Regions from separate parts of the Mus musculus genome. Here regions 2, 3 and 4 are each reported to be linked to region 1. The links are microRNA targets in miRTarBase. Many come from high-throughput screens and were not tested one by one. Region 1 holds a microRNA gene; each other region holds the end of a gene's coding sequence.
Evidence for each region. The annotated mature microRNA mmu-miR-324-3p reads CCACUGCCCCAGGUGCUGCU and lies in region 1 at 4,105-4,124, shown strand. An mRNA with a match to its seed (bases 2 to 7 or 8) in the 3' UTR can be bound and repressed. Matches are read on the target gene's strand: a 7mer-m8 pairs with bases 2 to 8, a 7mer-A1 pairs with bases 2 to 7 and ends in A, and an 8mer does both.

Region 1 (7,549 bases):
CGTAAGTTCTCCGTGGTCTCTCCTATCAGGCTGCGAAGGCCGGGGTCTCTCTGTCCACATGGACATGGCCTCTGTCACCAAGGCCATGGCAGCCCCAGAGTCTGGGCTCGAAGTCCGGGACCGCATGTGGCTCAAGATCACCATCCCAAACGCCTTTCTAGGTATTCCCAGGCCCTGAGCAAGGTGGCATGGGAAGGTGGGGAGGAGGCCAAAGCTGGGCACAACACAAGGTGGAGGGGAGGGGAGGAGCTGGGAGGAGAGTCTGACCTGTTTGCTGTGCTGGATCCCAGGCTCCGATGTGGTGGACTGGCTGTACCATCACGTGGAAGGTTTTCCTGAGCGCCGGGAGGCCCGCAAGTATGCCAGTGGGCTGTTGAAGGCGGGACTCATCCGGCACACCGTCAACAAGATTACTTTCTCTGAGCAGTGCTATTATGTCTTCGGGGACCTCAGTGGTGGCTGTGAGAGTTGTAAGTCAGCAGGTCTGGCTGTAGGAGCTCAGGCTGATGTGTGCCCCGGTACTGCTGAGTAGTACTGCTGAGTAAGCGAGGTACCTGAGCTGCATCCCCAAGGGAAAGAGTGCTGCACGGGGCTCACAAAAGCATTTTGGGGCTATTGGTGAGAGTCCTGGCTGTTTCTCTGCCAGAGCAGCAGAGTTTCCTGTTGTAAGCCATCATGGTCTCTGGCTTTTGTCTCGTGGGGAGCTCTGGGGAAATGGCTCAGGTTTCTCTGTTCTCAGGAATCCTGGCCTCCTAAAGCAGGGACCTCTCTTCCATTTTTTTCCAGACCTAGTTAACCTCTCTCTGAATGACAATGACGGTTCCAGTGGGGCTTCAGACCAGGATACCCTGGCACCTCTGCCTGGAGCTACTCCCTGGCCCCTGCTGCCCACCTTCTCCTACCAGTATCCAGCGCCACACCCCTACAGCCCCCAGCCTCCACCCTACCACGAGCTTTCTTCGTACACCTATGGTGGAGGCAGTGCCAGCAGCCAGCACAGTGAGGGTAAGTGACCCACTCCCACGTACCAGTACAGCCAGAGAAAGTGGGCACAAGTAGAGCGGATTCGGGGAGGAGAGGCAAGAGCAGGGACTGGGATCCTGAGGACTCTGGGCTGAGCTTCATTTTCCTCGTCACCTCTGCCCTCCAACAGGGAGCCGGAGCAGCGGGTCGACAAGAAGCGATGGGGGGGCTGGGCGCACAGGCAGGCCTGAGGAACGGGCCCCTGAGTCCAAGTCCGGCAGTGGCAGTGAGTCAGAACTCTCCAGCCGGGGAGGCAGCCTTCGGCGGGGTGGGGAGCCTGGTGGGACTGGTGATGGCGGCCCTCCTCCATCCAGGGGCTCGACAGGCGCTCCTCCTAATCTCCGAGCTCTTCCCGGGCTCCATCCCTATGGAGCCCCATCTGGCATGGCTCTCCCCTATAACCCCATGATGGTAGTTATGATGCCTCCACCCCCACCCCCTGTCTCCACAGCAGTGCAGCCCCCTGGTGCCCCTCCAGTCAGAGACCTGGGCTCCGTGCCCCCAGAACTGACAGCTAGCCGTCAGAGCTTCCACATGGCCATGGGCAACCCCAGTGAGTTTTTTGTGGATGTTATGTAGGGACCCATCTTGAGGCCACATTGGGTCTGTGCCCTTGGCCTGGCAAGTTTCAGCCTGGTGCCCTTCATAGTGCCTGGGCTCAGCCTGGCGGCTGGTGCCTACCAAAACGTTTTTGCCACTGTGACTCTCACCAGCAGTGCCTGGTCCTTCCCCCTCTTCCTCGGGGGTAGATGGGGACCTTTGGTTATTTTTAGCTTTATTTTTTATAAGCTTTTTGGGGGGTTAAAATAGACTTTCTTATATTTGGGGGAGTATTTTTTTAAATAGACAGTTCCTCTTTTATATGGAGAATCCCTTCTAACCCCAGAATATGACCGCCACCTCCAGGTGCCTAGTCAGCTCTCATGTTGAGGGTGGGTGGTGGTCAGTGGTACCCTGGGAAGAAGAAGGTGTGGGCTGGGTACCCCAGACAGCAGTCCAAGGAGGCTGGTGGTGTGTTGGGGACTGTGTAGCTGCCTTTGTTACTCTATTTATTTTAGTCACTTGTACAAAACACCAAATAAAGCAAATAGAGGCCAACTCCCCAAGCCTCTGGCTCCTTTCTTTGCGAGGCAGGCAGTGGAGAGGAGGGAGCAGTGACATTCACGGCAGACAGTGACTTGGTAGAAAATTTATTGTTAAGGCAATAAGTACTCCATCACCCCCATAAAGGGTTTTGGCATCAGAGAAGGCACATGACCTTGCCAGGGCCTGATTGGGAGTCTCAGATTCCCAGGGGGTTACCGGTGACCAGGCCACCATTCTCCACCATGGCCTTGGAGATGCTTCTGAAGTTCCGGAAGAGCTCCTGATGCTGAGGGCTGGACTGCAGACTGGCCATGTTTTCTCGGATCCGAGTTGCAGCCTGGGGAGAGGGAAGGGGAGGGACGGTCAGGCCGTCCTGTACTGGGGAGCTCCAAGGCCCACCTGTACTGGGGAGCTCCAAGGCTCACCTCAATGCACCAGCTATCACAGAGCATTTTCTCATGCTGTGCCGTCGGGTAGCCCTCACTCAGGGACCTTGAGGCTCTGTGAGGAAACAGAGGTTAAAATGATCCTGAGTGCTGGTGTTGGCCCAGCTCCTCTGTGGCTCTAGCCTGCCAAGCGTCCCTCGCTGCCGCCTTACCTGGACAGAACCACCACCATGGCATAGAGGTCAATGGCGCCGTCCGCCAGTCGCTGCAGCAGGAACTGCTCGTCTGTCAGGTAGATGAGGGTGGGGCTGTTAGTCGGAGGGAGGGAATCAGGGAGGGAAGGGGGTTGCAGAGCTCACTCACTGACAATCCCTTTCTTGTGTTTCACCAGCTTGGCCTCCACCACGGTGGCAAATTGATCCAGAGCCTGCACTGCCTGAAGAGACAAGAGTCACAGACAGAGCTCAGGAGAGGAAGGCAGCGCACAGCCACCGCAGGCTCTGCTTTAAGGCTCACTCACCAGTTCACCACTGCGACTTAACTCTGGGTGGACAATCCCTGACAGACTCAAACCACTGCCGATTCCTGTCCTCCTGAGAGGAGATGGAAGAGTGACTGGTCAGTTGCGGCCTCCCATCTTGTTTGACCCTGACTCTGACCCTGGCCCCGGCCCATGAGGTACCGTCTCAGCTGTTTGCCTGCTTCTCCCATCAGGAGGCCAACGTTTCCAAAAGGATTCTTCAGGGCATTGCCCAGCCCAGTGAGTTCCTTTCCTTTGTCCTGTGGAGAGAAGGGGGACGGCGACAGTGAGGACTCAGTGTCCTCCCCAGCTGCTCTCTCTCATCCTCCTTCCTCTTACCATACAGCCTTGCAGAGCCACAAACAGTCGAAGAATGTCATTTGCCCCTTCAAAGATCCGGAAGATTCGAATATCTCGGAGCACACGCTCCACCCCTGGTTCCTGGCACGCAGGAAGACACAGAAACCTCTGTTGAGATGTGCCTGTCCACTCTGAACAGATGCCCCCCCCTGCCGAGGAATACTCTGTACCTTCATGAAGCCCATGCCCCCCATTATTTGGATGCACTCATCTGCCACTTTCCAGGCCGCCTCCTGAGGACAGAGAACCAGATGAGTTGGATTTTTGAGCTGAGGTCCTAATCTGGACTCCGCCCTCCCATCACACCTGGGTCCTCACCGAGCAAAAGATTTTGCTGATGGCGGCTTCTATCTGGAAGTCTTTGAATCCCTGGTCCATGTTGGCACTCAGCATGTAAGCCATGGACTAAGGGAGCATGGTCGGGACATGGGGAAGACAACAGGGAAGGGCTGCATCAGACAGAATGGCTAATGCTCAGACCTTCAAGACCAGTGCTGATCTACTCCTCCAACCCTTGAATTCACTTTAGCCTCCTGGTCAGGTCAAATATGTCCAATATGTGACCCTCTGGTATATCAGGGGCTTCGAGGCTTCCGACTTTGTAAAGGGGTGGGTTAAAAGTCGTGTTTGGTGCATCTGGGCAGCATTTAGCAGAGCAGCACCACCCTCCAGAAGAGAACTGACTATGCCTCCTCGCATCCCCTAGGGCATTGGTGTAAAGCTGGAGACCCACTGCCCCAGGTGCTGCTGGGGGTTGTAGTCTGACCCAACTGTGAAGAAAGCCATAGGGCTCCAGGGAAGGGGCCCAGGAGGCCCTTACCTCAGTCACATACTGCAGAATAGCCATCCGAGCCAGCTTTTCCTGGATCACCCCAAAGTTGTGAATTTTGTCCCCAAACTGGGTACGATTAGTAGCATGATCAACCTGCAAGAGGGCGCATGTTACCCCACTGTGGTTCTTCAGTTTCCACCTGGACGGGCTGGAGGCCTAACTGTGCCGATGGTCGAGTGTGCATGTGTGTGTGTCGGCGCTCTGAGGCAGTCAGGGACATGTGCTAGCTAGGGACTGGGCTGGGACTCACCGCCTTGGCAATGAGGGATTTCATGGTGCCTGCGAGGGTTGCAGCCATCCCGAATCTTCCGTTGTTGAGGATGTTGACAGCAACCTTGAAGCCATCTCCCACCTCTCCTAGCACATTCTCTGATGGCACCTTCACTCCATCAAAGTACACCTCTGACGTGTTAGATGCTTTGATGCCCATCTTCTTTTCAGGGAGCCCACTGAAAAGGCAGGGCAGGAAAGTTGAGGTATGAACAGGTTGCTGTGGGGGAAAACGGCCTTTTCGGGTCTCATGATCAGGGGAGAACTCCCCAGACTATAAAAAGGATACAGGGCACTGCCTATGTGCCCCAGGGGCTACGGATATCTAGCTATGGCCTGTTAGCCTGTGTTCCCCCAGTGGAAACAAAACTGCTCACCTCCTGTGGGTGCCTCTTGTACAGAGATAGCCCCAGCGTGGCCTGTATTGACTATTTGCTCTTGAGAGCCCAGTGCTGTCCCCATCCTTGATTCTGTTTTGCCCCATACTCACTGGGTAACCCCTCCGAAGCTCCTTTCCACTACAAAAGCTGTGATCTTCTCTTTCACGGCCCCCGTGGCTGCATCTTTAATTGGCGTCTTGGCAAAGACAGTGAAAATGTCAGCCAGGCCCCCATTACTGTGGAAGAGTGAGGTGGTTAGTATAGGGTTTAGAGCAGCAGGGTCAGGCCACTGGGCTGAAGGGTAGAAGAGAAACGGAAGATTGCCTGATCCAGATCTTGCTCCCATTGAGAGTGTAATATTTTCCACAGGGGCTGGGTATGGCTGAGCTTCGGATGGAGGCTACATCGGATCCACTCGAGGGCTCTGTTAGGCAGAAAGCAGCCAAAGCCTGCCCTGTGGGGGAGAGAACGGGCTCACTGGGGATCCTGACCACCAGAGTTGCACCCCCTCATCCCCAGGCAGTTCCTTGTAACACCGTGAGCAGTGTCACACTCCTTACCCCTGGGTCTCTTAAGGTTGCCTTACCAGATGCCACTCTGGGAAGGTATTTTTCTCTCTGGGCCTTTGTGCCATAGAGCAAGATGCCTTTGAAACCGATGCTCTGATGAGCTCCCAGGGTAACGCTAACACCAAGGTCATGCATGCCCACAATCTCTGCCAAGCGAGCATACTGGAGGGAAAGGAGGCATCTGGGATTGTAGCTGGCTGCACTGAACTTGTCCTCAACAAGAATGGGCAGCAGGGCAGACCTGGCCTGGGGCTTGGAGCATCTCTACTCTGAGCATGGGGAGTGGAGTGGGTTTGGACAGGGCACAGGGAGGCTGGCCATGGGGCTCCCAGGTAGGCTGCTTCTCTAGCATGAAACCCTGGAGTCTTTCCTAAGGAGACAGGAGCAGGAACATCAAAGGGCTTAGATAATCCCCCCCCCCCCTTTTGAGGCAGTTTCATTTTGTAGCTCCAGCTAGCCTGAAACTTTGTGGGTTTCCCTGACTGTCCTGAAACTCCCTCTGTAGACCATGCTGGCCTTGAACTCGAGATCCGCCCGCCTCTGCCTCCATCCTCCATGCTGGGATTAAAGATGAGTGCCACTGTGCCCAGCTGCCCTTGGTCTTGATGGGAAGGTTGCCTGCTGTGTTGCCTCACACAGTCCCCAAAGACCTGGGAACCACAGTTAGGTCCACGGTCCTAGTGGGCTGCACACAGATCATGTTTCAGGGGAAAATGTGTGAGAAAAAGGGCAGGCAGGTAGACACTACTCTGGCTACTTGCTTGGCCCTAGTGGTGAGTCTACCAAAACTGGAGCACTGTGGAATGTTAACCAGGGGGATCCTCTCACCTGGGTATTAGAGAGGCCCAAACCACCCAGCTCGCTGGGTACTTGCAGGCCAAATGCCCCCAGTTCCTTGAGTCCCTGCAAAGTGTCGTCCTCCACCTTCTCCAAGGCGTCGTTCTTGGCAGGGTCATTCACTTCCTGAGCAAGGAATAGGAAGAATCTCATATTCAGAGGCTCCTTTAAGCTCCTTAGCATCTTACTTAGCCCAGGAGGGGCTGAGCTCTGGTCATCCCTTACCTCAAAGAACCGGGCCACTGGTCCCACCAGCTCTTTGAGAAATTGTGCCTGTTCTTCACTGAGCACTGTATAATGGGAGAGAAGAGCAGGCTAGTCAGGCAGAGAGGGCTCCCCTGCCCACACTGTCAGTGACTGACTAAGCCTTTACTTACCAGATGGGTATGGGAACACCTGATCAATGGTAAGCTGGCCTTTGAACATCCCCACAGCAAAGGACTTCGATTCCTAGGCAAGGAAGGAAAGGATCTTAGGTGGGTGCCTGGGGTGATTCTACTCCTGGTTTTTAAGTGTCAGTCCAGTTTCCAGTCACTTACTGCCCTGGCTGGTTTTTCTCTGGTGGAAGCATCAGAGGAGAGGGTTTCTGGCTTGTCCAGAACTGCCTGGAGGGAAGGGCAGAGCAGTTAGGCTGGAGATGGGTCTTAAAAGGTGTGCAGGAAGCGCTAGCTCTAGGAAGTGCGTTTGGTGCATGTTCCATTACTTTCTCACTAGGGCACCCTGGCGTGCCCTTTCCCCTACTTTCAGTGACAGAACTGCCACCAGGTGACTGGGTCGAAGAGAGAGACCCCTGTCGGTCGCAGGCTAGTGGGAACTGGCAACTCGCATTTCTACGTCCGTCTCCCTCATCCACTGTCACTTACCTGAGTGGCCTCCCTGGCATAAAGTCGCTGGGCAGAGATAGGCCGGGGTTGTCCCTGAAGCACAGTAGTAGATCGCGAGCTGTAAGGAGTCGGGGTTCAGTTCTGCCCTGGTTCCCAGACCCAGTGTCCCCTTGCTATATACGGACCTTCGGGCCCCCAGCCGCAGCAGCTGTCGCCCCACACTCGGGGTCATCCGAGCCGACTGCATCTCCAAAGCCGCCGCCGAAGTCTTGACCACTGACCTCTTCTCTTCGCGTCTCGCCTGCCCAAAGGTTGTGTGTCTGGGCCCTGACTCATGCTCCACAATGCACTGCGTGGTGGGGGCGTGGTCTTGGGCCTCGATGCATGGTGGGAGCTGAAGTTCCGACGTGTGCCCGGTCCCTGTATTCTACCTGACCTAGGGTGATCCATCTTCAAACGATC
Region 2 (7,506 bases), not on the chromosome of region 1:
AGCCATCGGCAAGCTGCAGGATCAGAGGAGAGCGTGTCCAGGAGCCTGAGTCGAGAGAGGTGTGGGGAACTTGTTGACAGCAGCCTCATGATGAGGCCTAGAGGAGGGAGGCAGTCATAAATGGAGCACTGGTATACTGAGGTAACAAGGCTTTGAAGACTGGAACATCAGAGAAAGATCTCAGATCTCAGACTGATGACAGAGCCATGAGAGTCAATAGGTGGATTGTGAAATATGTCCTTAGCATCACATGTGGTAAAGACAGAAGGAACACTCACTCTTTTGTTTTTCGAGACAGGGTTTCTCTCCATAGTCCTGGCTGTCCTGGAACTCACTCTGTAGACCAGGCTGGCCTCGAACTCAGAAGTCTGCCTCCTGAGTGCTGGGATTAAAGGCGTGCACCACCACTGCCCAACTGGAACACTCATTCCTAATGAATCTACAGTCCAAACTACCCAGACAAAAAACTGAGGGGGCACTCAGCGGGCAGAGGGGAAACACTCACATCTCATATCTAGGATGAGGGCAAAGGATATTCTAAGGACCACAACACCTTCAGGCACTCATGGAGACCTCTACAAAGGACTGGGGATGGTGTGAGCAGACTGACAACAACCTCCCTCTGCCTCAGGTAGTCACTCAGCAGTAGTCTAAAACAAGGCCATTCTAGAATATTCTAATGAACTAGTGCCAAAGGCAGCAGGGTGTCCTGTTCTCAGGAGGTGGAGGCACAGTGGTGTTTCCAATCAATACGGAAAGCTTTGTTTTACAAGTGTTTGCCATAAGCAAGGAGCAGCTTCTAGAATGAGAACCAAAAGAGCGAGTGTCCAGAGCGGCTGATTAGATCGGGTTTCCCCTGTGCAGGGTTTAGAACATATTAAACAATAAATCTCCCAGTGTGGCAGAAATTACCGTAAATATGTTTCACTGATGGAAAGACATACTCTCTAAATCCCTCTGAAACAGACACAGTGTTCTAGTTGATTCTTTGCTAGTCAGGAAAATACTCTGCTAACCCAGTCATGAATTCAGTCCCACTTGCTTTCAGGCCTTGCATGTGGTCTGTCGTGGCCACTGTCCCATGTACATTTGAAAAGAATAAGCATGCTTCCTGCTGTTTGAGAGAAGATTCAAGAAATGCTAGCCAGGCCAGCAGACAACAATGGTGTTCAAGTCTTTTCTGGCCTTGTGTATTTTCCCAATAGAAACATGTAGATAATATTTTAAAATTACAATAATTATTATTGTGTGTGTGTGTGGTGGTGGTGGTGGTAGTGGTGGTGGTGGTGTGTGTGTGTGTGTGTGTGTGTGTGTGTGGTGATGGTAGTGTGGGGTGTGGTTGTGTATGTGTATGGTGTGTGCTGGTAATGGTGTGTGTGTTTGTGAGTGTGTGGTGATGGTGCGTGTGTGATGTGTATGTGGTGATGGTGTGTGTGGTGTGTGTGTATGTATGTGTGTGGTGATGATGTGTTTGTGTGTGGTGATGGTGTATGTGTATGTGTGTGATGCAGTATGTGTGTGTGATGCAGTATGTGTGTGTGATGCAGTGTGTGTGTGTGTTATGTGGTGGTGATGGTGTGTGTGTGTATGTGTGTGGTGGTGATGGTGTGTGTATGTGTGTGTGGTGTGTGTGTGTATGGTGTGCAGGATGTATGTGTGTGTGATGGTGGTGGTGTGTGTGTGGTGTGGGGTGTGATGGTGGTGTGGGGTTTGGGTGTGTATGTGTATGGTGTGTGGTGGTAATGGTGTATGTGTGTGGTGTGTGTGTGTGTATGTGTGTGGTGATGTGTGTGTATGTGTGTGTGGTAGTGATGGTGATGTTGTGTGTGTGTGTGTGTATTTGTGTGTGGTATGTGTGGTTTGTGGGGGTAGGAAGTAATATCTACTGCTTCCCATCTGATTTTTTTGAGATTTGGTTACTCACTGAAATTGGAGCTCACCAGTTTGGCTAGACTTACTAACCAACCTGGGGACCTGCTTGTCTGAGAGAATTGCGAAAAATGTTTATGGAGTTATAGATAGTCGCCACCATTCTCTGCTCTTATATGGGTGCTGGAGATCTGAACACGGGTCTTTATGGATACATGGAAAACACTTTACCCACTGTGCTGACTCCCAGCCCTTTGTATGTTTTTGCTGTTGGTGGTGATTTGTTCAAGACAAAGTCTCACATCGTTCAATCTGGCCTCAAACTCAAAATGTAGTTGAGGGTGGCCTTGAACCCTTCATTCTCATGCCTCTCCCTCCCGGTGTTGGGATGAAAAACTGGTATGCACACCCTAACCCTCCACAGCAGCACTTCTCATACAACGACAACCTGGGACCACCCAAACATCCATTGCAAAGAAAATGGGTGAATAAATGGTGTGGTAGTCACACAGTAAGCACACGAGAACTGGCATCTCATCACCATATGGTAAACTATCCATCAGTGTAAACAGATGAATCCCAAACAGGCTGAGGGAAGCCAGGCGCAGCAGTACAGCCTACAGTATGGAACCCACATAAGCTAGATGCAGAAGTGGATACACAGTGGAGACTGACAGCTTCTGGGTACTGGTGACATAAGCAGTTACAGTAAGAAAGAAAGTATATGTAGGCATGCTGACGGTCTGTGCATTCTATCTGCACGTCACCCGTGAGGCCAGCAAATAGCAAGAAATGTCAGGCAGGATTAAAGTAATGGAAATTCCTACCTGCAAACAACAAGTGTAAACGGCATATCTGAGTGGAAAGTGCTTTGAATCATCTAAATCCCAGTGCAAACGCCAGGGCCTGATAATTCTACCCTTCCCCTTGGTATTGTGTCCTGAGCAGTGTGCTTCCAGCTGCGGGTCAGCAGCAAATCAATTTGGGGAGTTGCAACTGGCATTTTTCTACAGACTGAAATGGAAGAGACTAGAATAAAGCAGCAGGAGCCAGGAATGTTCTCATGTAGCTTTTTAAAAAAACCCGTGTGCACACCATGGACACATACCAGGGATCTGCAGGTTTCCCCCAAAAGGGCAGGACACTTCCAAAACCAGCTAGTGGCTTTGTACCAATGCATCTTAATTTCTATGGGTGGCAAGAGACCCAGAGTATAAAGCAGTGGATTCTCAAATGTCTTTAGTGGAAAAGCACCAGAGCCCAAGAGCTATGGCAACAGTAAGGCTACTTCCAACCTGTAGGGTGAGTTATCTGTGTGGGATGGACCCCAGGGCTCTGTACCTAGATCTTAGTTTACCAGGGAGACAAGGGACTCCCTGGGAGGTTGATGGCATTATAGCATGGGTGTCAGTTGCAATTACTGAGAAGATGTCGTGCCAGGATTGGGGGGTACCAGGTCCATCAGAGAAGGTATGTGAGGGAATGAGGTAGCCCCACCTTCACGGGGGTTTCTGTGAGGGGCTCAGTGCACATAGAGGAAATATCCTGTGATATTCTGGACACTTCCTCAAGCTCTGGGTTACAAAACAGCCTCCAGTTGTCTTGTGGCTGGCTCTTGTGTAAATTTTATAAGGAATATTGTAGATGGCCCATCAGCCACGAAGGTGGGTAGGCTCCGAGCAAATTGAGCACTAGTAATTGGCCAGCTGTGGAAACAGCAGTCTTGAGTCTGATAGGCCCCCAACATGTCAAGACATCGTAGCATACAAAAGCAAAAAACATTATTAACAAAAGAGAAATGGCAACACATGCCCACAGAGATGAACATAGGTACTCAGCAGCACCTTTACTGACACCTGGAAATGAAGACAGGGCCACACGCTGATGGGGGAAGACACCACGACTCGGTTTATTCAGACAGAAACAACTAAGATCCAACAAGCACACAACAGCAATGAGTCTATCACACACAACACCGCAGATGAGCCTTGGCCACACAAGCGAAAGAAGCCAGACATTGCAGAGTCCAATATGGGATTCCCAGACATATGATGGCTAGCCGAACTGGTCTCCAAGACTCACATTTGAGTTGATGCTGTCTAATGGGATGGGGTAGACTGGGAGGACTGGGAGCTTTGGGGAGATAATGTCTACGTATCAGAGGGGCTGGGGCCACACAGTCTCTGTTCTTTAAAGCTCACTGGTTCAAAAGTCTTAAATCAAGCATTCTGCCCTAACTGAACTTTATCTTGAACACATATCAACACTGGAAGCAGGCAGACAAAAGGCCGGCTGAGTGGGAATGGGGAGAACACGGTGTTTTATTTTCCTTTTCTGGCTTGTGAATGTGTGTTGGGGGGTAGGGGGAAGTGGGTAGCCTGTCAGGAGCATCCCAGCAGTTCAGTTTTCCTAACCCTGAAGAGACCAGCACAGCGGTCCTGTTCCATGTCACAATGGCCTTGCCCTGATCTCCACTGTTGTCTGCATTTCTTGTGGTTGGAGCCACGTATGCACCATAATGGTAGAACACACATCTGTCAGGTGTTACCTGCTGTCTTCATCACTGGGGCTTGTGTTCCCCTTGGTCCCCAGATTCTGGCATGAATTTCCCCACCAGGGTCATCTTGCAGCATCCCGACAGTTCCAATATAGGGGCTAGAGATCTAGTCAGTCAGTGGAGGGCAGACTGAAACATGGCAGATGGGATCCTCGATGCCCTTAGGACTCTAGGGAAGACCTGGAACAATATCCAGAGTTCAGAGACCAGGCCTCTGCATCCCCTTCCTGTTCATAGGAATGGCCTGGGGCTCCCAGTGTGGAGTTCCTTTCCCACCAGCACCCTGGATGTCCAGCAGCTCTGTGTTTAAAGGTGGATTTGCCTGTAGGTAGTCAGGTAAAGGCAATGCTGGCCCTCTGGCATACCTCCTTCCTGACATCCTCATTCAGCTGGGATGGGCAAGTCATACCACGGAGGTGGCAGCCGTACCTACTGGAGGCTTGGTGCGTTCATTAAGTTCTTCTTTCATTCTGCAGTCCCCAGGACTATCCAAACAGGGACCTCAGCTTCAGGGCCTAGAACAGCTTGGCTGAGGGTGCAGGGCCCAGCTCTGTGAAACCCACCTGGCTGGTGGAGACAGCGGAGGGTCAACTGGGACCACGACACAGGGTGATTTCTTGCATGCCTCCCATGTTCTGGGCTTCACTCAGTGGAATCTCATAGAGATGTGCACAGCATGTTCGTTCTCCCATCCCACCACGGTGGGTTCTCTAGGTTGCCTGGTGCCATCTTGGGAAGGGGAAGAGGAACCTCTCGGGTCTTCCCTAAGTGCAAGGCAGACAGGGTGAGGCACCCCTAAGACTTGGTCGATGGCCCTCGAAAAATGAGTCACAGAGCCTGTTTTGCTTAGAAGTCTCTTGGCAGCTCACGCTATTCTACAACATTGAAGGGGCTTCGCACCACTCCTACTGGTCTAGAGAGATGTGCTCAGGTGAACTGTGGCCACACCACAGGACCGTGATGAGAAATCTTACTTTCAGTCTTCTAATTCCAGAGAGGCAGAAACATACAGGGATATCAAGGAAGATCCATGAGGGGATGAACGGCCCAGGCCCTGGACAGGATTTGGCTCCATCACAACCCTGAGACCCTCTATGCCCTTGCCCTCCTCGGGTTTATGGACCCTAGGAAATGCTCATGATTGATGCCTGTGACCCTGAGATGGAAGCAGGAGTCCTGTGGTGCCTCACTCTTCCTGTGAGACCCTGCACTCATTCACCTGTGAGTGGGACTCATCCACATATCTCACTGCTCTATTTCTTACCAATTCGCTTCAACCTAAACAAAATAAAAACCTGCCGGGGCTTACATCTGACACCTTTGAGTCAGAGAGCAGCCCAGCCTGGAGGGTTGAGGGAACCACATTATGGGGAGGGAGAGGGTGTGGCCAGCAGAGCACCATGGGAATTTCCTGGGCCGTAGGAATCCCACAGCACGAGGGGCTCTGGTTCCTGAAGGGGGATGAATTGTTTTGGCCTCAAAGGACAACTGAGATCAACACTGGATCATTCTCTGTGACACAGATGGGTGTGTGCTGTCTGTAAGCCAGGGAGTGACTGTCACTTGCTCTGGAGAAACTTTAATGAGGGACTCAGCCTGTAACTATATCAGTCCTCAACTAGCTCCAACCAGGCCTGTGGCCTGACTAGAACCAGGGTCAACCAGGGCAGCATCTCTCTCTCCTAGGTGTCTCATGGCCGGTTTGGAAGATGTGGGTGACTGACGAGTCGCATGGCCCTGTAGAGACCTGGGAGCTAGGTGCCGCTATTCCCTAGATCATACCAGCCAACCATGGAGGCAGGAAGAGTCCCACAGTGCCCAGAAGGCAGACAATGATGAACATCCAGAGGAAGATTCGGTCAATGACCATGGCCACGTATTTCCAGTCCTCCTTCACCTGCAAACACAGACATGGGTCATTCTAGCTCTCAGATACCATGGGCAACCATAGAATCTTCTGGAACCTGGCACTATGAGCCACAGTTTCTGTATTTCCCATCAGATACACATCTGTACACTGATGTGGTGAGACAGAGCATGGCCAGAGAATCTGCAGGGTCAGAGAGGCTGCTGCTAGGTAGAACAGAGGGAGGTAACATATGAGGTGGACTGGGCATCTATAGAACCCATATCTAAGGCTGCATGTGTGGGGTCTTTGAATTCAGACACATCTGAGTGCTTTCTGGTAGTCCACACCGCCACAGAAGGCTTGGGGATCATGTTGTACACTAGCTGGTCTTACCTGCTTGGCAGGCTGCCTAAGCTCAAAATGTAGCTCATTGGGCCTACTTTGGCCAGACAAAGGGCCCATGACTTCGGGATGAAGTATGTCTTATGTTTTCTAAAGCTGGTAGCAGCACAGAGGCTGAGTCTATCTTCTCACAGTGCAGATGTCAGAAGTGGATCCCAGGGGCTGGAGAGATGGCTCAGTGGTTAAGAGCACTGGCTGCTCTTCAAGAGATCCTGGGTTCAATTCCCAACTCCTACATGGTGGACACAACCATCCATAACTCCCTTTTCAAGGGATTTGACACACTCTCTGGCTTCTGCTGGCAGCAGGCATGCATGTGACACACAGACATACATGTAATCAAAACATCCATACACATAGCATAAAATCAAATTAAGAAAAAGTGGATCTCAGAAAGATGTCAGCCACGTGTCCTAGTCCAGAGGGTAAGAGCCAGGACATGCTGGGTAATGGATTGATCACTAAGGCCATCCCAAAAGCAAGGCCTAAGTGCCCAACTGCCCCCTGGTCTGCTTCTGACCATGCACACCTACTTCTTACATGGGCAGCATAGCCAGCCTGAGCAGGCACTGGTGGGGAGGCAGTGGTGCCAGGAGATGTTCCAAGAAGGGAGGATGGTCAGAGACAGAGGGTGAATGGTGGCAAGATGCACACAAAAGAATGATATATATATATCCACCGTTTGTGACTACCCAGTCAATCCTCATTGGACCGTGCTATATAGCACATGGTGACGATGACGTCCAAATGACTAATGGCTCCTTCTACACACACTTCTGGATCCCACAGTGTGGACTCTAGCTTCTTCCAGGGCCTGATGCAAAGTAGC
Region 3 (7,549 bases), not on the chromosome of region 1:
AAATCAACCTCACCCCCAGCTCTCCACCCAAGTAACAATAAAATTATATCAAGATCTCTGGCAGTGCTGGGTGTGGTGGCGCACGCCTTTAATCCCAGCACTCGGGAGGCAGAGGCAGGCGGATTTCTGTGTTCGAGGCCAGCCTGTTCTACAGAGTGAGTTCCAGGACAGCCAGGGCTACACAGAGAAACTCTGTCTTGAAAAAAAAAACAAAAAACAAAAACAAAACTCTGGCAGAGTTCAAAACTCACATTTTCCTTTTTTTTTTTCTCAAAGAAAACATTATTCAGGGGATTACACAAAAATTTGACCTGGGTAACTGAAGAATATTAAGCTATCTTAAGAAAAGGTATACAAACACGTGGGAATAAACATTTTCTCTTTTAACTACAGTACACAGGCCTTCTTGGTGAGTGTCATTACTATGGAGAATAATAATATTCAGTCATTAATGTTGTGAATGCTGATAACAATATGAAGCTGAACAAAATACTAAGTTCTTTTCCACACATGTCTTGATGAAAGAAAAAGTTCAGCATATAATCTAGAAGGAAAGACTATCTACTTACCATGTGTTTTTGATAAATTTGAAAGTCGCTAAGTTTGTTTCAGTACATTAAAAATGCAATGAGGAGGCTCCCAACTAGACTAGCTAAGAGAGGAGCCAAAGAGAGAGGCCACAGGAAAGGCAGGCAGGAAGTAGACTCTCAGAGAAACAGGAAGTGCTAGCCAGTTAATGTTTAGGGGCAGAGATCTGGCAGAGAAATAAGCCTCTTTGTTTATTTTTGTTTTACCGTTTCCACCAGCAGAAAGAATATTAATATTTATCATCTATGTGCCTGTTTATCTGTTAAACAGTGTGCCTCTCGCTCCTCTTACCATACTGGCCACTGTCCATTTATTTATTGTGAACTGTTAAAAGCGCATTTGAGTTAAGTCATTATTGTATTTGTTCAAGCATGTGTGTCAGGCCCCTTACTTGGTAATGCAAATTGTTAGTGGTAATATTAACAATGCTTGTATCTCCCTCTTCCCCCCGTTCCAGGATCCTGATGCCTTTTGTGAAGACCTGCCTAATGGTCTTGCCTTCCGTGCAGACAATATGGAAGAGTGTGACAGACGTTGTCATTGGCCCATTGTGTACAAGTGTGGGCCGCAGCTTCTCATCGGTCAGCATGCAACTGAGCCACGACTGACCACTCAGACCCTGGGCAGGTCCAGACATTTGGATACTGTACAACTTTATTGATGCAACAAACTCACTACTGTTCTGTTCACTTCCCAACTGTTAAAATTATTCTTAAAATGGAACCCAGATTTATCGAAGTTCACTGTCAGATCTTTAAAAATAATGATTTTTCTCACCAAAAGCCAAGTTATATCTAATTATATAACAAGAATTGGCAACACCCAATGTAAGAACAGATATCTTTAGGAAAAAACATACAATTGCAGTGATGACTTGATAATGGTCAAAGGGCAACTTCCTCAGACATTAGAGTAATTTTGTGCATAACTGCTCATAAAGAGTAAGGAATTTCTTATTTTCTTTTCCTCTAGGAGTAATGTTCTTGAAGCTACTTTTACAGATATGGTCATAAGGCTAGCTAGAGGCAATACATTCCAACATTCTAGGAACTTTGTACATTAACAAAAGTATATACTTATGATAATAACTATTGAATAGTAAGAGAGATAAATGTGAAAATGTGTTCCTCTGTGATATTATTAGCCTGCAAGCCTATTTAACAAGATGTTTTGTTTTTCTGTATATTGTATACCTAATGCAAGTGTTACTCTAATGAAATCGCTTTGGAGTGTGTTTCTCTTGTGTTTGCTATTGTACTAATCTCATTATATAAAGTAAGCAGAGCTACCATAGGGTAACTTTCTTTGTAAGACTGTGATGTCCTATAGGAGAATGTTGATAGATTCTTTGGAATGCAGTGTAAAATGTGCTGTCTAGGTGTTCTCTCCAACTTACCCAGCAAATGTTTTATGACTGGGCTTCATCTGGCTGTGACCATAAGACATGTAGACATGTAGTTGTTTTGTTTACTATAAGTTTTCTTCTGAATGGTTAGAAACTTATTCTGTATTCTACATTCCTATGAATGCTTCACTTACTTTCAAGTAATTCTGGTGCTAGTTAATAATATTTTTTATGATAAAGGCTGTGTCTAACATCTAAGCACATTTTTTTTTTTACTACAGTGGTTCATATAGAGAAACTTACAGGAGAATTAACAATTGTGAGGGTTTATAAAACTGAAGTACATGTGTAAATTAGAAACTAACATTACAAATTTTCAAGATGTTCTCTAGTATGAATCTTAAAACCTATAAAACATTATTTCCTTACTCAGTATGGTCTTTTAAAAATTGGTATGTTAAAAAATTTCTACATTATAATTACATAATATTTCAAATTTCAGAATTATTATCAAACCCTGAATGAGCATTTGCTCGAATATGCTCATGGGTGTCAAATCTTCACTGAAAGAAGATAAATTTTTTTCAATTTTTCAATTCTGGTCATTATTATAGGTCATTGAACTGGGATTCTATTGCAGACCAGGTCAAAATATCATATTAAGAGACTAAGTGATAAAACTCATATCAATTTGATGGTAATCATAAAAGAAACATTTCAAAACAGCCTTAGGGTATTGTACCATCCTCAGTAAACGAAGTCATAGCTTGGTAATAGCCACAAGCATCGCCATTAATGTGACTGTCAAGATTGTATCACACTAGTTTCCAAGGTCAGTCTCATGCTTTATATTATTTTTGTAATTTAAGTTTTAAATGCCTGGGTGTATTGATTAGTCAAAACTTTAACAATAAAATATCAGTTTAATAAATTATAAGCTTCAACCTTTTAAAATAGTTCTGACAGATTTTAAGACAAATATGTATAATTATATATAAAAATCTTTAATTTTTAATATATATGATTTCCTTTTCCTAAATAGTATTGATTACTTTCAACTGAACTTTTACTGAAACTTTTCATGAATTATTTTGTCTCAAAAACTCAAATTGTGGATAAAAGGAATCAAAGTTAAATATGCAAATATGTTGATTTTGGGGGCAGGGCAATTGGAAGTCAGAGGCAAAGAAATTCCCTTATTATCCATAATAAACATCTCTAAAAACAGTGGATGATTTCATTGATTCTATTATAGTTTGTCTTTCTGCTGCTTATGTCGTACATCTGGTACTCAGGAACAAGAACCTTTTCAAATAAAGTTTCTTAAAATCTCAAATAACAAGGACACGAGTTGCTGTTCCAAGATGTATCTGTCAGGATGAAGAGATGGGTAAATGGTTATGGTACTTGCCATACAAGCAAATTAGAGTTTTGGATTCCCAGAACCCAGATAGAAGCCATGCAAACTTGGCAGTCCATTTTTAGCTCCATCATTCCAAAAACAGAGATGGGATCTCCAGGGCCAGCTGGCCGACTAGTCATATCCACAAGCTCCGAGGTCAGCTGAGAAATCTTGCCTCAGCCAACAAGGTGAATAGTAATAGAAGACTTCTGACATCAAACCCCAGACCTCTGCATGCATACAGCTGAGTGCACAACCACGTACACAAGTGTGTGCACACAGGAGAGAATGTGGACGCACACACTGCAAATGCACATGAGGAAAAAGAATGTTGTCCTGAAGAATTATGAGACTGATCGTTTAGTTCTCTGTTTTCCTAGCACTTGAAGAGATTCTGCATAAATGTTCCTGTCATTTGATAACTAATATGTGGTGGCTTGCTCACAAACCAACCACGCTCGAGCTTTGTAAAGTTTCATGTTGCTAATCCTAAATAAACTGATGCCTCTATTTCTAAGTCTTAAATATGAAAGTGATACCATTATAACTCACATACTAAAATACCTTGTATCCCAAAGCCAGATTTCTCCAAAATTATTTTTGGAGAGTAAGTGTGTGAGGAACAACTGTTGATATTGGCACAGACTTTCTTGTGGTCAATTAATCTGTTAATAAATCAGATATTTGGCTGCTTTCGAATGTTCTTTATAGATTGAAAGAACTTTAAAAGTCCCTCTTTTTACTAGTCATCTAAATCCCATTCATTTAGTTTCAAGTCTTTCTTGGAAGCTGTTGCTGCAGGAAAATGCTCCCTGCCCTAGAAGTGAGACATCCCCATTCCACCCTCAGCACTACCACGACTCCTGTAGTTCACCTTCTGCAAATGGCTTAGCATCTGAGTCTTGGATTTCTTATCTGTAGGGAAAATACTGAGTTAAATGTTCCTGCCAAATCTCCACATGTTGCTGCACTTTACACATTTAGCTATTTAGTCTAGGAACTTTAACAACAACAACAATAATAGTAATGATAATAATGAGGAGGAGAAGAAGACAGAGGAAGAGGAAGAGGAGGAAGAAGAGGAGGAGGAGGAGGAAAAGGAGGTGGGGGAGAAATGTAGTCAATTACTCAGTTGAGATATAGAACATACATTCACAGATATACTTTGTACTCTTCTATTGATTATAGGACTTTTTTATGACTTTGATTCTTTATGACAAAAACTTTTAGATTTTTATAAGCTCAAATATTATCATTCTATTCCCTAAAGTAACATGTTTTGGTACATTTTAAATAAATTCATATTAATTTGAAGATTTACTAACAAAATCAACATTTTGATAGATGTTATGGTTTGGATCTCAAATGTTCCCCAAAAGACTCATATCCTAAAGGCTTGGTCACCTGCCAGTGGTGCTTTTGGAAGTTGGTAGAACCTTTAGTAGTCTGGGTCTAAATGAAACAAGCCATGTCTTTGAAAGTGTAGAAGAAGATACTGGGATCTCAGCTCCTTGCTGTCTCTCTCCTCTTAGTTCCTGGGTACCATTTCAGTAAGCAGTTTGTTCTAATGCAAATGTTCTCCCTCACTACAGCCCAAAGTCAACAGGGCCAAGCAATTGAAACATCTAAAAGAAAATATGATCCCAAAATAATTCTTTCTATCTCCAAGTTACATCAAAGGCCCAAGCAATGGAAAGCTGATTGGCAACCACCATTGCCATTATCATCTTCACCCTCAGCCTGGCTGTCATCCAGCGCTCCCAGCTGGCCTTACCCTCTCTGTCAATATCTGCTCAAAGGTCCTTCCCTTAAAAATGTTATCCTATCAAAGCTATTCCATCTCCTTGACTTAAAACATTGGCTATAAATGATCACCCTTATATGATCAAACTTTTGAGTGACATGCACAAGGCTTATCACATTGTCACCATTAAAGAGTCTTTCTATTATCATATACAATGTTAACTAGCCCCATTATACAGCTGCTTAAGGACCCAACGCATCTCCACGTTTGATTCCTAAGATTCTGGAAGGCTGGCAACCAAATGAATTCAGGAAATGTTTTCTTCCTTCTTCTCCTTCTTCTTCTCCTCCTCCTCCTCTTCTTCCTCCTCCTCCTCCTCTTTCTCCTCCTCCTCCTCCTCCTTTTTCTTCTTCTTCTTTTTCTTCTTCTTCTCCTTCTTTTGGTTTTTCGAGACAGGGTTTCTCTGTGTAGCCCTGGCTGTCCCGGAATTCACTCTGTAGACCAGGCTGGCCTCAAACTCAGAAATTGGCCTGCCTCTGCCTCCCAAGTGCTGGGATTAAAGGCGTGTGCTACCATGCCTGAGGAAATGTTTCCTAAATGAGTAACTAGAGGAATAAATGATTAAGCAAAATCTGAGGTGCTTGCAGAATTAGGAGTAAGAGTCACATTTCAAAGGAGAGCAAAACAGACTGATTATGGCAAAAGTTCATATGCATGATTTTCATGCTCATGAATCACTATGGGAAAACTAGACCTTACGTAAGACATATGATGTGCATTCCTTCCTTTGGGGCAATACCAGTTGTGTTGCTTACACATGTCACTGCTATAACAAAATACCTGACATATACAATTTAAGGGGTTTATTTTGACTCATGCTTTAGGAAGAGAAACACTTGGTTGTGGTGGGGAAAGGCATAGAACAAGAGTGTGAAGAACTTAGTTTTATTGCAATCAGGAAGCAGAGTGCAGGGAGGAAGGCTCAGCTAAAAACTTTAGACCCTCCCCGTACACCCTGCTTCTTCAGGCAGGCTCCACATCCTAAAGGTCTCTACCTTCCTGCAGCTCTATCAGCAGGGAACCAAACGTCCAAACATGATATTTCTTACTCAAGACACGCCTGTCTAATTCTGTGTTGCCTTTATCCGAACCTGTTTTCAAATTGTCAAGAACAGGGATCTGTACAACTTGGAAACTTTCTTGTCGTCTTGCCTGTGTGGTTTTTGGAACGGGAGTTTCTTTCATTATCCCATTCCCCACTGAAATCAACGGAAGCATCGCTTCTGTAGAATGTTGCATCTCAGAAAACACATTCTATACATTGTGTCAATTGAACACTAGGACAAATTAAATGGCTTTGTATGGTAAGAGACCATATGAACTGCCCCATTTCTGTGGCTGCAGCTGCATCATTACAGAGTGTTTCCATAAGATAACAGGAGTTTCCAAAGGTTGTAGGGTTTATGTGAAGCAGCCACGGAAAGAAAGTGGGTAAAGACACAAAGAGCCCTTCGCACAGCTGACGCAGCTCATCACAAATGAGGATGCAGGACATTTTCTCTGAAAAACAGACAGATGGGGGAGGCAAAGGATACCAGTGCACTAGATATGCAGGCTAGAGATTCAAGGAATAAGAATAATTTGGGGTCAACTCACCAAGTGTCTTCCCTCTTCACTTCTAAGTAGTAAAATGAGCAAAAGAAGGCTCCCCCTAGTCCTAGTTTAAAATCACTTTTGTACCCTCTAGCCTCCCTCTGGGAAACATCTGAAAGCTGCCACAGGTTTCTTACCTCTGATGCCTTTTAAGTGGAAAATAACCTTGAGTAGGGTCACGTTTCAATTGATTAGCAGCCTTATATTTTAAACTTCACTATGAATGGATGGTCTAAAGGGGATATTGAACACTGCAGAAGGGACGTGCCCAGGAAGAGCCCTGAGTACCATATGGAGCACATACACAGACCAAGAAGAAAGCCCGGCTATAGACGAAAAGACAGGCGGCTACAATGGCCCTGACCTTGACCCTCCCCAGCTTGCTTTGGAGACCTCTGCTTCATATTCCTAAGCAGGGTTCGGTGGAAACTGAATAGGAGTGGAGAGAATCCAGTCCACAAAAGAGACTTCTTTTTCTCCACAAAGAATTGCTTTTGTCTTATTGAATGAAAGGGGGCCTGGGGGAAGCCTGGGGGCTCTGCAGGAACCAAATACCCTAAAGAGCATCCAGTGAGCAAAACTGAAGATGAAAATCCAAGTATAGCTGTGACCACTTGTGTCTCTTTCACCTTGCCCGGGTCCACTGTTGATCCCAGCTATGGTGTCTGTGACAGAGAAAGGATACCACAGAGCAGTCAGAGAAATCAGAGGACACCACTCCAACAATTACCCCAAAATAGGACAGGGACACCTATCTGACTGCCCTTGTGCGTGTTATGTTACCCAGCGTGGGTGCTCGGCTGGAGAAGTTATTTTG
Region 4 (7,549 bases), not on the chromosome of region 1:
GTCGGCTCCTTTCTCTAAACTTACCTGTGACAGGCAGATGGAGGAGTCGTGGAAAGGAAAATTAAAAGCACCTAGCAATTAGAAGGTCCAGAGAGGGCTGGACAAGTGAGACTGTGAGCTGTACCCACCCCCTGACTCAAATCCGGGTGCTTTGGGACAGGGAAGGGTAGCGGACTATGTGACCACCCCTGCCAGCACGCCTCCACCAGCGTCGCCACCAGAGTTCGCAGAGCCAGTGAAGCATGCCCTTCCCCCACGCCATTCCCAGCAGCCCTGGCCGCCCCGCCCCTGTTGCAGCTGCTGTTCGCGTACCCACCCCGCTCGCTCGCTCGCTTGGCCCTTTCTGCACTGTCATCTGCCCCGGTGAGGCTCAACTCCGGAGTGGGACTATCCGAAACGCTCCGGACCACAAGCCCGACTCCACCCAGCAGGGAGGGAAAGGAGACAGATTGGGCAGAATCCCAGGCCTCACCACCAGCAGCGGAGTTCGAAGGTCTGTGGGCCCCACCCTTCCGCGGGACTGAAGCTCTAGGACTGAGTGGAGGGCTGGTGAGGGTACCCTTGCAGTCGCGCATGCGTGACCAGCTCCCGCTCCTGGTTTCCCACCCACAATAACAAATCTCATTCAGCCAGCAAGCTAGGGATCCCAAAAAATTACCAGGTCTTACTTCTCCACCTGGGGCTCAGGGTACTATTTAGACTTGTTCTTTGATGCACTGAACAGGGCATAGCCAGCATTCACCTTAGAGCTGTGATAACCTCAGAGAAACACAGCTAACATAAACTCAGGGTACAGAGGGGGGAAAGAGGAGGCCAATCCTGCCTCGAAGTCGGGCCAGAACAGGAGCTGACATCACCCCCTTCTCTGTAACCAGTGGTGGGAGACAGTCTTTGGAAGCCTCATTGAGGACAGCAGAGGTCCTGAATACAGTGTAGTGTGGATCCCAGTAAACACAGTAGTGAGGACCAAGGCACACAGAAGGAGCTCCGAACCTTTGAACTCTCAGGAATTGGGGTAGACATGGGAGCATTTGAGTGTTAAGGGCTGGGTCCACAGAGTAGAGGGGAGAGACAAGTATCCCAGGCCCAGGGACCAGCGTTGGCAAAGGCTAAAGTGCTAGGACCATAGTTCTCACAGGACTGAATGGTTGGATGGAAACCTAGCTGTCCAGAGTGGTGGGAGGGGGTTAAAATAGCCAGACTAGTAGCTTAGATTCTTTGGTGAGTACTGGAGACAAAGGGTGGGTGTCTACGCCTGCCATTCAGCTAGACAAGGAACATTATAGTTTAGGCTAGGGCAAGTCAGATTCCAGTTGTACTGGGTTCCTCCGAACCTGCCTCTTCATCCATAAAACCGGAAAGATAAATTCTACCCCAGAGTTGTCAAAAGTCACAATGTTGGAGTGAAGGGAGGCGTGGGGTGTGAGAGAAGTGCGCAGAGATATTTATTGTCCCGGGAGGCAATCGGCTGCTGCTGGGTTTAAGGAGAAGAAGCTAATGGAGACTGATTAAAAGACATCTGACAGGGATGGGGCATGAAGGGAGATGTGGGTTGGAGGAGTACCCTGTCTGCGCTTAGTGGCCTTGGGGGAGAAGGACCAACAGATATGAGGGATGGAGACCCAAGGTGTGAAGTGCCCAGGGACAGGACAGTGTGAGTACTGAGGCATGGGACTTTTGATATGTGTGGGGCAGGGGTTGGGGGATATGACTCAATGGGCCAGGAAGAAGGTAGAAACAGGAACATTTAAGGCAGAGGAGACCAGGGCTTGGGAGGCAGAGGCAGGCGGATTTCTGAGTTCGAGACCAGCCTGGTCTACAGAGTGAGTTCCAGGACAGCCAGGGCTACACAGAGAAATCCTGTCTCGAAAACAAAAAGCAAACAAATAAACAAACAAAAAGGCAGGGGAGACTTAGAAGGATGCTGTATGAATAAAGAGAAGGCAGAGGGAATGGCCAGGTTTCTTTTTTCCTTAAAGTCAGGGCCCTTATTGGCTGGGTTAGGACACCCAACTCGTTGGGAGGTAGTCATGATAGGCAGGAGCTGATAAAAAATGAGCAGAGGAGATTAATTCATACTTGGTTCCTACGGTTTGGTACAGGCAGCCTCTCAAAATGGGTAATCCATGGAGGGGAAGCTAAAAGTCTGGTAAGCACTCCTAGTGGCTTTTAAGAGCTGGGCATTTCAAGGTCAAATAAGAAATGGCTGTAAGTGACTGCCGGGCCATTAGGGAAACAAGTGGGTCCCTGATACCAGGAGATCTCTCAAAATTAAAGTTCAGTTGTGCTACGATAACCTGGAAGAGTCCCAAGACTATGTTGAGGCTGCGGACGGTGGTGAATGAAGGGGCAAGGTTCTGGGATGCCTGGACCTCCGTGTTAGGTGAATGGAACACGGGTGCCTTGGCCCTTCGGGTGCAGACCCGATTGTATGAGCGATCAGGCAGGCTGCCCTTGATCCAAGGTTTGCTGCAGGGGCGAGGAAGAAGGTATGAATCAAGCCTAGGGTTTTCTGCCTATTTAGGTAAGGAATTGGGTTCAGACAAAATAATTCAGTTGGATAAACTGGGTCTCAACTGGTAGCCAACTGTGCAGGTGTCTGGGGCTTAGGAGGGAGGGAGGTCCTAGCTGGGAAGAGCACTCCACTGACAGGTGGAGTCTGCAAAAGAAACCTGAGGAATCAGGACAGAAGCAGCCAAGAAGCTGGAGGGTGCGTTCTGGGCCCCTGGCCTCTAGGTCTTGCGCTGAGCAACCATCCAGACTCTGATGTTGAGGTGAACTTAGATAACTCCTGGTCAGCGTAGAGTAACGCAAATTACGCCCCGCCCCCTTCTCTCCTTCTTGACACAGCAGAAATGGGCAACGTGCAGGAGCGCCCATCAGAGACCATTGACCGGGAACGGAAACGGCTGGTAGAGACATTGCAGGCTGACTCTGGGCTGCTGCTGGATGCGCTGGTGGCCCGGGGCGTCCTCACTGGGCCCGAGTACGAAGCCTTGGATGCGCTGCCCGATGCAGAGCGCAGGGTGCGCCGCCTACTGCTGTTGGTGCAGAGCAAGGGCGAGGCAGCCTGCCAGGAGCTACTGCGCTGTGCCCAGCAAACAGTGCGCATGCCAGACCCGGCCTGGGATTGGCAGCACGTGGGGCCCGGTGAGCACCAAGAGGGTGGAGCCTTGATGAATCGAAGGGCGTGGATTAGGGGCAGGGCGAAGCAAAGGGTAAATGGAGGGCAGAGAATTTGGAGGTAACCACAGAGGGGTGAACTGAACCTCAAGTACTCCCTCTTCCTTCCCAGGCTACCGGAACCGCAGCTATGACCCTTCATGCCCAGGCCACTGGACGCCAGAAGCACCCAGTTCAGGGACCACATGTCCTGAGCTGCCAAGAGCGTCAGAGCAAGAGGAGGTCGGAGGTCCTGAGGGCTCTGAGGCACTGCAGCCTCGAACTCCAGAGGAGCCAGAACTAGAAGCTGAAGCTACTGAAGGGGATGAGCCAGACCTGGAACAAGAAATGAATCCAGAACAAGAGCCGGAGCCGGAGCCCGAGCCAGAACCCGAACCCGAGCCCGAGCCGGAACCCGAGCCCGAGCCAGAACCCGAGCCCGAGCCGGAACCCGAACCCGAGCCCGACTTCCAAGAAGAGGATGAATCTGAAGGTTGTGAGAGCGCCTAAACCCTTGCTTGCAGGCTTGTTACGGGTTGTGGACTGCAAAGTGTGTGTGTGTGGGGGGGGGGGGTTGATCCCTATTCCACTAACCATCATTTTCATCTCCAGATTCCTGAAGGCCAGAATCCTTAGCTGTCCAATCCTATTTGTGCTGGATAAGACCTGGAAACCTGCCAGAGCTTGACCCCATCGATGCACCGAGACACCTACTGCCAAATGAATAAACTCAGGAGGGTCAGTCTGTTCCTGACTCTCCACAAGTCTGGCTCTTTGCTCAAGAACTGAGGGTGAGCGTGGGTCTGAATCCCACTGACCTGAGCAGGCTTGTGTGAAAATACCCCCATCCCCTCAAAAACATTCCACTTCCCAAAGAGCCCAAGCTGTAATTCTGGAGATCTCAGATGCAGGCCCCCAAATCTGACCCTCCCTCACCCACTTTATTCCCCTCAGGGGCCATTTGGGAGGCCGAGTGGGCAACACTTCTAATCCATGGAAATCACTCGGCTTGGTGTACCAAGCAAGTGAAGGGGGATGTCCATCCACACATGGAGAGAAGTCTTGGCGCTCACAGTCTTGCAGGGAGGACCTGAGAGGAAACTTGAGTAGACAGAAGCCACACACATCATTGTAACTGCTGTTTAATTGTCTGGCTTTCCTCTGAACTGGGAGCTCAGTGAGGGGCGTGGGGTCTAACCAGTCACAGACATACACAAGGAGCTCTGCACATATCTACTAAGTAAATGAATACAAACTTCCCAGCTGTGTTTCCAAGCTTCACAGATGGAAACATTAACTGAAAAGCCAGGGTTAGGACAGTACTAGCTCACTCTCCCACCGCTGAATCTGAAGTGAAATGAAAGCCTTAACCAGCTCTGTACTAATCCTGGCCTGAACGTGGGATAACAAACCCTAGGGCCTGCCCTGTAGGTTTGATTGTGGTTGCTCCCGCCTGTCCTAACCACTGCCAGAGACCAGCTGTGAGGCTGTGGTTAAAGACAGGCACAACCAAGACTAACATGGGGACTGAGGGTGGGACCAGGTGCTGGACTCACAAGACACAAGACACAGTGTGTCTGTGTGAGTGATAAGAAAGGGGGTCTAGGGGGCTGGAGAGATGGCTCAGTGGTTAAGAGCACTGACTGCTTTCCCAGAGGTCCTGAGTTCTACTCCCAGCAACCACATGGCGGCTCACAACCATCTGTAATGGAATCTGATGCCCTCTTCTAGTGTGTCTGAAGACAGCTACAGTGTACTCGTATACATAAAATAAATAAGTCTTTGAAAGAAAAGAAGGAAGGAAGGAAGGAAGGAAGGAAGGAAGGAAGGAAGAGAGAGAGAGAGAGGGAGAGGGAGGGAGGGAGGAAGGAAGGAAGGAAGGAAGGAAGGAAGGAAGGAAGGAAGAGGGAGAGAGGGAGGAAGGAAGGAAGGAAGAGGGAGAGAGGGAGAGGGAAGGAAGGAAGGAAGGAAGGAAGGAAGGAAGGAAGGAAGGAAAGAAGGAAGGAAGGAAGGAAGGAAGGAAGGGGTCTAGGAACATACGGTACTTTTCCAAAGGATCCTGCCCCTACATGGAACTACTACTACTACTACTACTACTACTACTACTACTACTACTACTACTTCCGGGCCCCGCCTGGAGGCATGAAATGACCCCATGAGGGCGACTATGGAACAATGCATGACCAGTGAGACAGACAGAATGCTGAAAGGCAAAGCCCAGCCCAGCTGGGTCTCTGAGCCTGAGTGACAGCCGGAACCCCATGCTCAGGCAAATCACCTCAGAGGGGTTCCCAACTCCTGCTGGCCCCAGTGAGAGGTAGAGGTATGAGTGTAGAAGGAGCACCAATCGGCCAGGTAGGGGGAAGGGAAGGAGTGGTACCAGACACCCAAAGCCATCTCATGCAGGAACAAGTTTCTATTCCCAAACCAACCCACATTTCTATTCACACTCAGCTCCCATCTCATCGCCCTCCCATCTCCCCTGCTCAGGAGTTTATGTGACATGCTGCTGCAGTTCACAGGCCCCAGGAAGGGTAGCAAGGACAAAAACCTTCTAACGTTGCTTCTCATCTGCCCACGATGCTCCTGGCCTCCCAAATGCCCCCAAGAAACACCTAGGCTATGGAACCATAAAGAACTTCATATTCCGATCTGTGACCTCTGTCAAGAGCGTCTGTCTATAACCCTTAGTCAACATCAGTCAGGCAGCAGGCGGCCCAGCTCCGCTTCATCCAGCCGGTTGGTGGTCATGATGTGTTCCAGCTGCTGCCGGTAACGTTCCAAGTCCTTCATGAAGTGGGGCACTCTGGTATTGTCTAGCACCCCGTAGGGCCGCAGTTGTTCCACGTCTTCATAGGAGACCTATAGGAAGCAAACTGAGCCTCAGAGCTAATCAAAGTGCCTGGCTTTCAAGTCCAGGATCTACCCATGGCTCAGGGCCATTTGCTCCTGAGATGATTGTGTATATTCTTCATCGACTCCTACAATAGATACCTTCAGGCTCTGCCCTGGATCTTCTATCTTTCTCTCTCTATCTTTTATCTACGTTGTACAACCCATTCCTCTCCAGCCCACCTTATCTCCTCACCTCTAAATGGTATCCAACTGATACCTGGGTCTCTCTCTCGGGTTATCTCCCACATCCAACAGGAGACTGTTGAATGTCAGCTGTCTGTCCTCCCCTCTGCATAGTCACCACAATCAGGTCCAAGAAAGGCCGACTAGGTTCTCATTTCCCCATTCAGGGAGTCCAACAGTTCTTTTATCTGTAGTTTATAGCTTTGCCATTATCAATTCTGTAAGAGTGATGGAAGACCTCCTTCTCTTGCCTATCTAGGTCTTCCATTTCCTGCACTTCCCACAGAACATTCAGTTGGAGCCTTTTAAAGAAAATCCATGCCCACACATTTACGATACTCCCCCCCCCCCTTTGCTTCTATCGAGGTTTGCCTCAACCTGGTACAAGACCTGGGCTTTGGTCCCTGGCCATTTCTCCCACCTTCTTCCCCAGAACTTCTTGACCTCTCCCTGCCTTGGAGTGCTCACCTCCCTTAACACCTATGTACACATCTGCAGGCTAGGTCACACACCTGATCTGTGCTACCAAAACTTTGTCTCATTTTGTCTGCCTTCCCAAGTGTCGAGGCCTTCACCAAACATAACTCTAAAGAAGAAAGAGCTGGCTGGGCCTTTCGGCCCTTTACCTTGCCCAGCGAGGTCAGCAGCTGGAAATCAATGGTGTGCCGGTGCCGTAGGATGCGCAAAATGCCATCCAGGTACACCTGGTCCTTGCTGAAGCAGCCTGTGAGAAGGATAACCAATCGAGCCTTACCCAAAAGCCACCCTTCACCTTGCGCCAGCTTGAGCATTCTTGCGACTCCACAGTTCCCACCTGGCTGGGAGGTATCCGTCTGTCCTCGCTTGGCACGGACGCAGTACTCCCAGCGTACACCCTCGTCCTGCACGTACTGCGCCAGATCCTGGAAGAGCTGGCGGAAGGACATGTGCGCCGCCTGGTGGATGGTGTAGTAGAGCAGGGCGGCGCGCCACAGGAATGGTTGCTTTCGAAACAGCACACTATGCAGGCTAGCCAGGCCCTCCTCAGTAGGGTTGGCTGGCTGAAGGCCGTACTGCAATCTGCCTTCAGTGCTGTGCCACGGTTGCCGCGAATTATTCACACCACGCAGGTAGTGGGTGCCTGCAGGGAGGAGGAGGAGGAGGGGGCGGAGAACTCACTCCAAGGACCTCTAGTAGAGACTCTTAGATCCTCGTGCCCCGCCCCAAAATTCACACCCTACAAGTCATCCCAAGCCCTACCTAAATCCATTCGCAGCCTACTCCAGACAACTTCTTGGTTCAGGGCAAGCTCTTCTCTACTTACGTTCTC

Region 2: miRTarBase lists Chrna4 as a target of mmu-miR-324-3p. Seed matches in the 3' UTR shown: 7mer-A1 at 5,672-5,678.
Region 3: miRTarBase lists Cav2 as a target of mmu-miR-324-3p. Seed matches in the 3' UTR shown: 7mer-A1 at 1,452-1,458.
Region 4: miRTarBase lists 4931428F04Rik as a target of mmu-miR-324-3p. Seed matches in the 3' UTR shown: 7mer-m8 at 4,626-4,632.

What each region holds. Positions count from the first base shown.
Region 1 is chr11:70,007,991-70,015,539 of GRCm38, forward strand. It overlaps Mir324 (microRNA 324), which reads left to right and starts at 4,053; the gene lies at 4,053-4,141. Dvl2 (dishevelled segment polarity protein 2) reads left to right here. Exons shown (of 15, transcript NM_007888.4): 12 at 30-161; 13 at 291-470; 14 at 787-1,005; 15 at 1,154-2,119. The coding sequence ends at 1,602. Acadvl (acyl-Coenzyme A dehydrogenase, very long chain) reads right to left here and starts at 7,438. Exons shown (of 20, transcript NM_017366.3): 1 at 7,273-7,438; 2 at 7,127-7,205; 3 at 6,803-6,868; 4 at 6,641-6,713; 5 at 6,489-6,553; 6 at 6,255-6,389; 7 at 5,444-5,588; 8 at 5,182-5,311; 9 at 4,968-5,093; 10 at 4,458-4,656; 11 at 4,196-4,300; 12 at 3,694-3,780; 13 at 3,546-3,608; 14 at 3,355-3,456; 6 more. The coding sequence starts at 7,334. The coding sequence ends at 2,306.
Region 2 is chr2:181,018,557-181,026,062 of GRCm38, forward strand. It overlaps Chrna4 (cholinergic receptor, nicotinic, alpha polypeptide 4), which reads right to left. Exons shown (of 6, transcript NM_015730.5): 6 at 3,755-6,323. The coding sequence ends at 6,198. Among named protein-coding and RNA genes, the nearest start is that of Gm30797, 6.6 kb to the left of the region's middle.
Region 3 is chr6:17,285,852-17,293,400 of GRCm38, forward strand. Cav2 (caveolin 2) reads left to right here. Exons shown (of 3, transcript NM_016900.4): 3 at 1,046-3,279. The coding sequence ends at 1,196. Among named protein-coding and RNA genes, the nearest start is that of Cav2, 8.4 kb to the left of the region's middle.
Region 4 is chr8:105,276,121-105,283,669 of GRCm38, forward strand. 4931428F04Rik (RIKEN cDNA 4931428F04 gene) reads right to left here. Exons shown (of 8, transcript NM_028888.2): 6 at 7,055-7,360; 7 at 6,867-6,964; 8 at 4,289-6,024. The coding sequence ends at 5,860. Nol3 (nucleolar protein 3 (apoptosis repressor with CARD domain)) reads left to right here and starts at 327. Exons shown (of 4, transcript NM_030152.4): 1 at 327-493; 2 at 2,854-3,150; 3 at 3,296-3,655; 4 at 3,775-5,819. The coding sequence starts at 2,856. The coding sequence ends at 3,782.